Drosophila melanogaster: one gene and its partner. The protein of the gene in region 1 interacts with the protein of each later gene in a pairwise test. Each region holds a gene or a part of one and is shown in the gene's direction. Other genes may lie near its edges.

Evidence for each region.
Region 2: the proteins of CG6621 (region 1) and CG31680 interact in a two-hybrid assay, tested with the Drosophila melanogaster proteins (one large-scale study listed by BioGRID).

Annotation. Positions count from the first base shown.
Region 1 is NT_033777.3:10,889,065-10,895,222, reverse strand, and holds CG6621 (uncharacterized protein), read left to right. Parts: upstream 1-1,691; 5' UTR 1,692-2,040; coding exon 2,041-2,308; intron 2,309-2,371; coding exon 2,372-2,583; intron 2,584-2,648; coding exon 2,649-2,860; intron 2,861-2,919; coding exon 2,920-3,138; intron 3,139-3,242; coding exon 3,243-3,709; intron 3,710-3,831; coding exon 3,832-4,129; intron 4,130-4,211; coding exon 4,212-4,223; intron 4,224-4,377; coding exon 4,378-5,308; 3' UTR 5,309-5,455; downstream 5,456-6,158. Other genes in the region: leash, read right to left, coding at 1-47, 105-1,493.
Region 2 is NT_033779.5:20,638,394-20,641,356, forward strand, and holds CG31680 (uncharacterized protein), read left to right. Parts: upstream 1-1,727; 5' UTR 1,728-1,756; coding exon 1,757-1,799; intron 1,800-1,870; coding exon 1,871-2,271; 3' UTR 2,272-2,325; downstream 2,326-2,963. Other genes in the region: Sfp38D (seminal fluid protein 38D), read left to right, coding at 2,547-2,589, 2,656-2,963.

The DNA of each region.
Region 1 (6,158 bases):
TCCCGGAGGTGCGTTGGCCAAGCCGAAGAGCTCTTCGTATGAAGGTGCTAAAAAAATAGATACAAGAGATAGATACAATTGTAATGTAGAATATCCCAACTTACGCAGCTCATGGGCTCCAGGCGCCTGGCGAGGCTGCAGGAACGATGCTGAGGCCGAGGTGGATGGCAGTTGGCTATAGGCCGGAGCTCCTCCTGCTGCTGCACCGCCTGTTGGCGGGGCGGCGACCACTCCGGCCGGCGGTGGTGTGAGGGCAAGGAGCGAGTATTGCGGCGACTCCGGCGGCGGGTAGGCGGGCAGATGGGGTGGCGGATACGACTGCACCATAAGGGGACTGGACGAATAGGGCATGTAGGGCACATTGGAGCTGCGCAAGCTGGTCCTGGCAGAGGGACTACCATACTGCGAGGACTGGGAGCCCGAAGTGTAGGACATATCCATGCCACCGGTTCCAGCGCCCACAGCGGGACTCAGAGTGGCCGCCGAGGAGTCCGAGGTTATCGAGTTAATGGAGCTGCACTCGCTAAACTGCGATGAGTGCGAGGGCGAGCCAATGGAAGAGTCCAGTGAGGGATAGACCGGCAGGGCGGGCTCAAACAGATTGCCGGAGCCCAATTCCGGACCAGGTGGTCCATCGTTAGGCCGTGGCGGCGGCGGCGGACGCAGCGAACTCTGCCTATTCGATGGATCCTGCGAGTACACCTTAAAGGGCAAATTAAGGATCAAGTTCTTAAAGAATCCCCGCAGCACCGCCTCCACACGCAGCTCGTATACAATGGTGATGACGCCGCTCATCTGTTCATCCGTCGGCTGGGCTCCATCGGGCAGGAGCAGCTCGTGCGCAAAACTCCGCTCGGTCTTCTTCTGCACCGAGCCCGTCTCCTTGGTGGCCACCGCTATGCACTCCACCTTCTGCACCCGCAGTGGTACATGGCTGTAGTAGGTCACGTACTGCAGGACGGTAAAGCGCAGCTTCTCCACAGCGGTGGTGCTGTTGTTGATCACAGTAGCGCAAATCCTAAGCGGCTCTCCGCGCACCGCAAAATCTTCGGGCAGAAGGGCCAACAGGGTGATCGGTCTAGTGCCAAACAAACTGATCGTCTTGGTCACCTGCTTCTCCAGCGAACTGGGTATGCTGCGTTGCATCGGTTGGAGCGGCATGTTCTTCACCACGGTGAAAGGAATCGTGTGGCGCTCGTCGAAGGTCCATGGTCGCTGGATGAGCACGCGCATCTTGTACTTGATGGCGCCATAGCTGCCCTTGAAACTCGAAGGTAGCTGGCGACCCAGCGCCACCTCGAAGATGAACGTGTGCTCCCCAGCCGAAAGTTCCAGGCCACGCGGCTCAAAATCCGGCAGAGGCGTCTCGCTATGCTCGTACACCTCTTTGCTGGTGTAGAACAGACTGCGGGAGTACTCGTTGTTGTTCGAGTTCTTGCGCAGGATCTCCATCCATTTGCATTTTCCCTTGCCGGTGACCTGCACCTTGATGGCTGAAATTAAAGTTAAGCTTATATTAAACAAACTTATTTAATTACAAATTCAAACGTCTTAAAATTTAAATTAGCTAAGTTTTTATCCATGCTAGCGTTGCCAGCCATTTCACTTAGCGAGTGCAACCACCACAGCAGCAGAGTTGCCAAGTCTCGATATTAGCGATAGTAGTGTGATTGCATTTTCTTTACATTTTTCAGACGCCGTATGGTATTATAAGCGTTAGCAAAGACGGGCCTATTAATATTTTCACGTACTTTTCACATTTTGGCAGAAATTCAATCAGGAAATCCTTTTGTTAATGCCTGCTATACTCATAACAAGACCATTAATTGTGTAGCGTTTAAGGAAAACCGAAAGAGTGAGCTGCTTCACTTGCCCCGAGTGACTGGAAATCTAATTTGCGTTTATTTTGACGCAAAACCGGTGCCGACATTTTCTCGCCCAATTAAATTGAGTGTGGATTTTGCCGCATCCCGTTCCCTTTGCCCTTTAAAAAACCTTGATCTTTAAATGTTGTAAAGCAAAGTGGTGCGCGCTGCCAAGATGAACTTCGATTACATCGGCCAGGCCCTGGGCTACCACGGGCAGCCGCTCCAGAAGATCTGGGACGACGAGCGCGGCGTGGACGACCTGCGGCTGATGGGACTCACCCAGGTGAACTACGGGGTCTACCAGGAGCGGCAGAAGTACTTCACCTTCCAGGAGCGGGCTAAGCGATTGAAGATGCACCAGTTTCTGGCCAGGAAGGCCACCGATTTGTATGATCGCACGCTGGTGGCCAATGTTATGGAGGATTCCCTGCTGGCACAAGGTGGGTTTAGGGTCTATGAGTTTGAGTGGTCAATGGATAACTCCAGTGCTATGTTCTTTGCAGGCAACACATACATGACTCAGATGGCCCCCTTCGAGTTCTTCCTCAATGTGAAGGACAAACGCAAGGGATGGGCGCACCGATTGTCTGCACTGAAGCAGGGCGACATCATCTACACGCAGGTGACACGGCTGGCCAGCGGCAACCGGCTCATAGTGAAGCCACTCTGCACTGCTGAGCCCAAACACGCCTACTTGGCTGACATTCCCATAAAGGTAACAGCCAAGACCTTTATTTGCGTCATATTTCGCATACTAATCATATCTATTCTACGTCGTAGGCCGTGATCCTGCAGGACTTCTGGGGTCCCTTGCCCCTGGACAAGCAGGGCAATCCGCGCAGCTTTGTCCAGAATGACATCTTGCGCTGTGAGATAAACAACATATCCGCGGATACCGAGCGGCTCTCTCTGAACATGATCGGCATGTTCAATAAGGTGCCGGATTTAAAGTTTGGTCTCTGCGACTTTAAGGAGTTGCCCAAGTATTATAGGTAAAGCATCGTTTTTAAGGCATATTTTCAATCGTGTTTAACGAATGCTTCTTCTGTAGTAAAATACATAACCTGGATCATCCATCTGCGTCTCACTACGAGGATGAGCTAAACAAAGCCTTAGAGTTTGAAAATCCCAACTACGATTTGCTGTTCCAAATGAACGGACTGCAGCCAAACGAGAATCTGTCACTGATGTCATATTTAAGGGCGGGATTCCCGGAGGAGGAGAACGCCGCGGAGTTGCGACAGAAGCAGGCCTCCCAGTGGGCCTTCCGGTAAGTCTATATACTGACCTTAAGCCTTGAGAGTGTTTGTCATTCCATCATTCGCACACCCTATCGCACCCAACACCCAACTTCATTGATTGGCCGCTGATCAGCTCCGTGGCTGATGGCATCGAACACTTTAAGAACGGCCAACAGGTCGAGGCCTTTCAGTGCCTGAACAAGGCCTTAAACATTGATCCGCGCAATGTTGAGGCGCTGGTGGCCCGCGGTGCCCTCTACGCGAATCGCGGCAGCTTTCTTAAAGGGCTGCAGGACTTTGAGAAGGCTCTGCACCTGAACAAGTATCACGTGAACGCGCGCAAATACATGGGCGAAACGCTGGTGGCTCTGGGTCGCAGCTACGAAGAGGAGAATCGCATAGCCGAAGCCGTCAAGGCCTATAGCGATTGCCTAAATCTGTTGCCGCTGCACGAAGAAGCACGCCAGTCCCTGGACGCACTGCATCGAAGTGGAGACGGTAAGCGTAGAATAAGCACTGAGCCGTCGAACATGACCGGTGGCCAGTCCTCGGACGAGTCCTCCTCATCGAGTGCCAGTGATAGTGAATGCGAAGATTCGGGTGAGTACATGTGGTGGGGTCAGTGCATGGGGGCTTTGCTAGCTAGCTAGCTAAGCACTGATCCACCGTTTATTATTCCCTCATGAACACTATTCAAACCGATAACTCATTTCCAATTTTAGCTGGTAAGCCCAAGTCAAACATTAGTCAGCCCTTTTATGCCCAACACAAGCTAAAGCAATCGGGAGATGAAAAGTTGGCCGTCATTGATGCCCATAAGGCCAATGAGTTCCGTTTGGACGACGACGAGACCGTGTCGAGTGTGCGGAAGCTTTTGCGCGAGGCGAGCAAACACAAGAAGGCCAAGAAGAAGGGAAAGAAGAAAAAGGACAAGAAGGAGCGAAGGAGGTCCAGGACCAAGTCCGAAACGGAGGATCCCATTGAATTGCTTAAGAAGATCGACTTCCAGGAGGCCCTCAGGTGAGTTTTGCAGCTAAAGAGGCTTATTGCACAATAAGTATACATTTTCTTGAGATTCTCCCTGCCTAACCAACTGGGATAGACAAGACAACAAGTATGTACCAGGAATTATTTAGCTTGACTTCCGAACTGCAATTGCATCCTAAACGATGTTCCTTCAAATCTGGGATGAACAATGCGGTTTTGTTGTCAATGCTGTTGAATATTTTACAATACGCAGTTAATGCCACAGTTTGTGTTTCTTTTAGGCTCATGAACAGCACCAGGAGCGATGAGGAACGCAAGGCCAAGATCAAGAGCTATCTAAAAGAAGGAGGAAAAGAGTCACCACCTCCCCCGCCACCAATGAAAAAAACAGCAGTCTCATCTAGAAAGTCAAGCTTTGACAATGTGGGACCCAGCACATCGCGTCATGCGGCCTCCGTTGTTGGCTTTGGAGGCGCCCAGCCACCACCAGCGCCCAAGTTTCTGGGGCAAAAGAAACATCCGGAGCCGGCACCCAAGCTCTCCTTTCAGATTAAGAAACGACCGCTGCAGATGGACAAGCTGGGAATGCTGCGTCTAGCAGCGCCAGCGGAGCCACTCAAGGGAGGACGGAGCAGCAGCTCCCGCAGCCGGAGTAGGAGTAGAAGCCGCTCGCGAAGTCGCTCACGTAATCGTCGGCTTGGAAGGAGCACGCGTTCGTCGCTCAGGAGCCGGCGTTCTGGCTCGAGGTCCAGATCGATTAGCCGATCACGGTCGCGTCGCCGACGTACCTACTCCCGTTCGCGCAGCCCCTCGCCACGCAGTTACGGAAATCGCTTTGTGATTGGACGCTACCGTAATCGCCGAACTCGGCGTTCGCGCTCCTTTCATCGTCGGCGTTCTCCATCGCCCATTTTGAAACGCCGATCGCCTTCACCATTTGTGCCCCGTCGCACACCATCGCCGGCATCCCGCTATCGACGCAGCCGATCCCGCAGTCGCTCCCGCTCACGCAGTCGGAGTCCTCGACGCTTTCAGTCTCGCTACATGCCGAGGGATCGTGGCTCCGTGAATCGAAGCAGGTACTCCTGGCACAATCCCCATAAACGCAGTGTATCACGCACCGTGGAGCCAAATGGCAAAGATGAAAGGGCAGCTACTCCGCCGAAAAAGGGTGTTGCTGATGATAGATCTGGACGAGAAGAAAGGGCGTAAACAGGGCCTCGCCTACGAGTCTTAAGTTTCCTTTTAGCTGATAGGGTACATTTGATTTGATATTCAAATTTGTAAAACGCTCCCTTTGGGAATTGTTCATTGGTCACTAAATAAAGAAGCTTGCGAAGCGAATTTATTACAAACTATAACAATCAATCGATTATTGGTTCTTTTCAGACAACACGTAGCGTAAAGTAAAATCAGGAAATTGTCGGTATTTAAAATTTGAATATAGCGTACAAACATATAAAAATGTAAGTATATGAATCGCATATCTATGCAAAATTAATCAATGTTAGGATAAGTACTTCAAAACTAAACACAATAGTTTGTCATTTTTGTATTTCAGATATCAGATTCTGATTTTGCACATGGAATGAACTGAAAGTCCAACGCGTAGTGAGAGTGTAAGAGAGCCCCAATAGAGAGCGCAATATCCCGGAGAGTGTATCCCCCGCCGTGCCCCTTATCAACACTTCACGCTGCACTTTCGCAGTGAGAGACGGAGAGTAAGAGAAAAAGTGGTTAAAGAGGGGACGAACACCCGGCTGTTAGTGTTAGTTGGGGCTCCTAAGAGAGAGCTAAAGCGAGAGAGACAAGTCTGGAAGCTAAACAACAAGCACCAAGCAAACACGAAAGATAACGACTTGTTTCATTTGATATTCGCCAGCCGGCAGAAGCGGAACAAACAAAAAAAAAGAAAAAACAAACTTCGGACGCCGCAGCTGCGGACACGAAATTAGAATACTTACGGCGACAAGTTATCGCACAAATTAGTACGCGAACGAGAATTGCTACCGAGATACGTCGGCGGACACCCGAAATTTTTCCCAAAAACCAAGGTGCCGTG
Region 2 (2,963 bases), on another chromosome or scaffold:
AAAACGTTGAAGGTGCTTCACAAGAGAGAAAGATTACTTGGAAAACCGTTTTAAGATCAGCGACAAGAGAGAGTGAGAGAGAGAGAGAGAGAGTGAGAGATCACTTGGGAACCCGTTTAAGGTGCGCTAAAAGCGAAAGAGAGACGACGTGATCTATTAACCGAGCTGTGAAGTGCCTTGCTTAATAACCCGGCAGTCGCCCACTTCGTAAAAGCACCTGCTGGGTTAGTGTGCCCGTCGGCTGCGTGGCATTTGCCTGGATTAGCGTGCCCAGCCTACTCGGAACAGTGTGACCAGCCGCCAGTGCTTGCGGGCGGGCGCTCTCAAATATTTAAATTTCAATTGCTTCGCTTTACTACTTATTTACTCATTAATATAATTATTCTTTATTTGTACTTCATTATTTAACTTAGTTATTTTCTACATTATTCATATATTTTATTTCTATTTATATATATTAAGTCCTTAATGTGCGCGGAATGCGCACACATTTCTTTTAAGAATGTAAAAAGTCAACTGCATACAATTATCAGATTGCCGAATGGCAACACTTTTTTATTTGTTATTTTAGCTCTATAAATAAATAATATTTTAAATAACCGTATCAGTAGACATTGCTGGTTAGCGGAATGAAGAAAATATCCCTCTTAGTATTAGCGAATCTGAGCTGTGGTTAGTTCATTGCAGCCCCAGATTCAGATATCAGCCTCTAATATGACAGGAAATTACAATACATTTCACAGCCCTAAGTAGTAGGGAATATGAAGAACACGACAGGCTGGCGACGTGGAGACTTCGAAATATTGTAAACAAGTATAAATACTTAGCCACCGGAAACGCGGAGTTCTCCCGGTGGATTGAAAAAGTAAACAACGTTGCTGCCTTAAAGCTTGGACACAGAAGGTTACTTCAAAATATACGATAAGCAACGCCAATTGCTTGAAGATAACATTACTCAGCGCTTGAACACGCTCAGATCCCTAATCCCTAGCCAGCATCAGGAAAATGAACTTAAGAATGCCTACAAGTTCTCAAATAAGAGAAAAGAAGAGGTGTATATGAGAAATATGAGGGAATGCTCTGCACCACCGGAGATACAAGGATATGATTATGATTACTATCTAGGCTATTGATCATAAAATTGTCCAATGAAATCAAATAAAAGGTCGCTTTTGGTTAACCTTTATCGAACACCTACTCTGCCAATATACCAAAAAATGGTTGAAAATTCTTGTTCGCACTCCGACCAACTGGCAAATGGGTATCTAGTCCTCTAGATAGTCGAGGAACTGGACTAGAGCTTGTTATATTGTTTAATTTAAAACCGCACTGGTTTTTGGCGTCGGATGTTTAAGGATTAAGTTTTCCCGGCAGCCGACGGACGCCCTTAAAAGTAGCAGCAACAGCACATGGACCACATGTCACCAACCCCATTATTTCCGACGAAAACTGGTGGCAGTCAGTTTTTCCGAGTACACAAGTCTATTTCCATGGGTATTACTGAAAATGAGGCTTATATCTATAAGTTATTAAGCGAGCATTAATATGACATGTTTGTATCGAATTGGTTTAAAAATGCATATGGCTTCAAGTCTTGTTTACCTAGCATTTGTTGCACATTTTTTTTTTAAGAGTGTAAAAAGTCAATCGCAAAGCTTGACGAATGGGTTTTCTACACTCCTTTATATATTATTTTAGGTTTATAAATTAACAATATTTAAAATATCCGTATCAGATGCATTTGTTGGTTAGCGGAATGAAGATAATAGCACTCTTAGTATTGGCGAATCTGGGCTTTGGTGAGTTCATTGCAGATCCAGATTGAGATATCAGCCTCTAATATGACAGGAAATTACAATATATTCCACAGTTCTAAGTGAATCCTTAGCAGAAATGGACAGGCTGGCGACGTGGAGGCTTCATAATATTTCAAACAAGTACAAATACCTATCCACCGGAAACCCCGAGTTCTACCAGTGGATAGAAAGGGTAAACACCGTTGCCGATGAATTCAATCACTACAATAAGCATCGGCAAAGACTTGAGGATCAAATTACTGAGCGCTTGATAACGATCAGATCCATAATTGCCATAAGAAACGCAAGCAAGAGATGTCTTCGATTCTACCTTAATCAGGAAGCTGAACTTGAAAGTGCCTACAAGTCCTCCAATGAAAGAAAACAACAGGTTCTCTACCAAAATAGTGTAAGATGCCCTCATGGATTGGATGACGGCAGGCTTGGTGACCCTTACTTTGTTGACTACTTATGATAAATATGTTTAACCAAATCAAATAAAATATCGCTTTTGATTGAAATACTTTGGAATAATTCAAGCTTAATTAATTATGGGCAAGCCTGTTGAATATTTGTTTGAATTTGTGTGATAAGGTTTTTTTAACCGCAGTTGCTTTGCATGGCTTAAGTATTTAAGCTTAATCTATTTAATATGCTTAATATGCATGTGCATATCCATCGATTTGCTTTGCCCTTTGTAGACTTTCCCATTTTAGCTATTCACTTCAGTTAGCATTTCGAACCGCCAATATGAAGTTTATGGCAATATGCCTATTGGCAAATATTGGCTACAGTAAGTACATAGTACATTTGTACAGATATCCCAAGACAGACACTCATTTAAGCAATATTTATGCAGTACTTGGCACTACAATTGGCCAGCTTAATGACGAAGCCACAATTCGACTAAAGGGACTTGTGGAGAAATATAAACTGCAAGCTCTTAGCAATCCCGAATTCTCTCAGTGGATTGGCAAACTTGAGAAAACTAGCAAGTCGAGAAGATTGGAAGACAAAATGAAGGTCAAAGCTGAATTTAAAAACTACGACGAACGTCGCTTGCAATTGGAAAATAAAATTAGGGAACGCATTACGGCGATCGATGACCTCATATCCGATATTATGGCCAAAGTCCCGATAAAGGATAAAGGGTGTCTCAAGTATTAC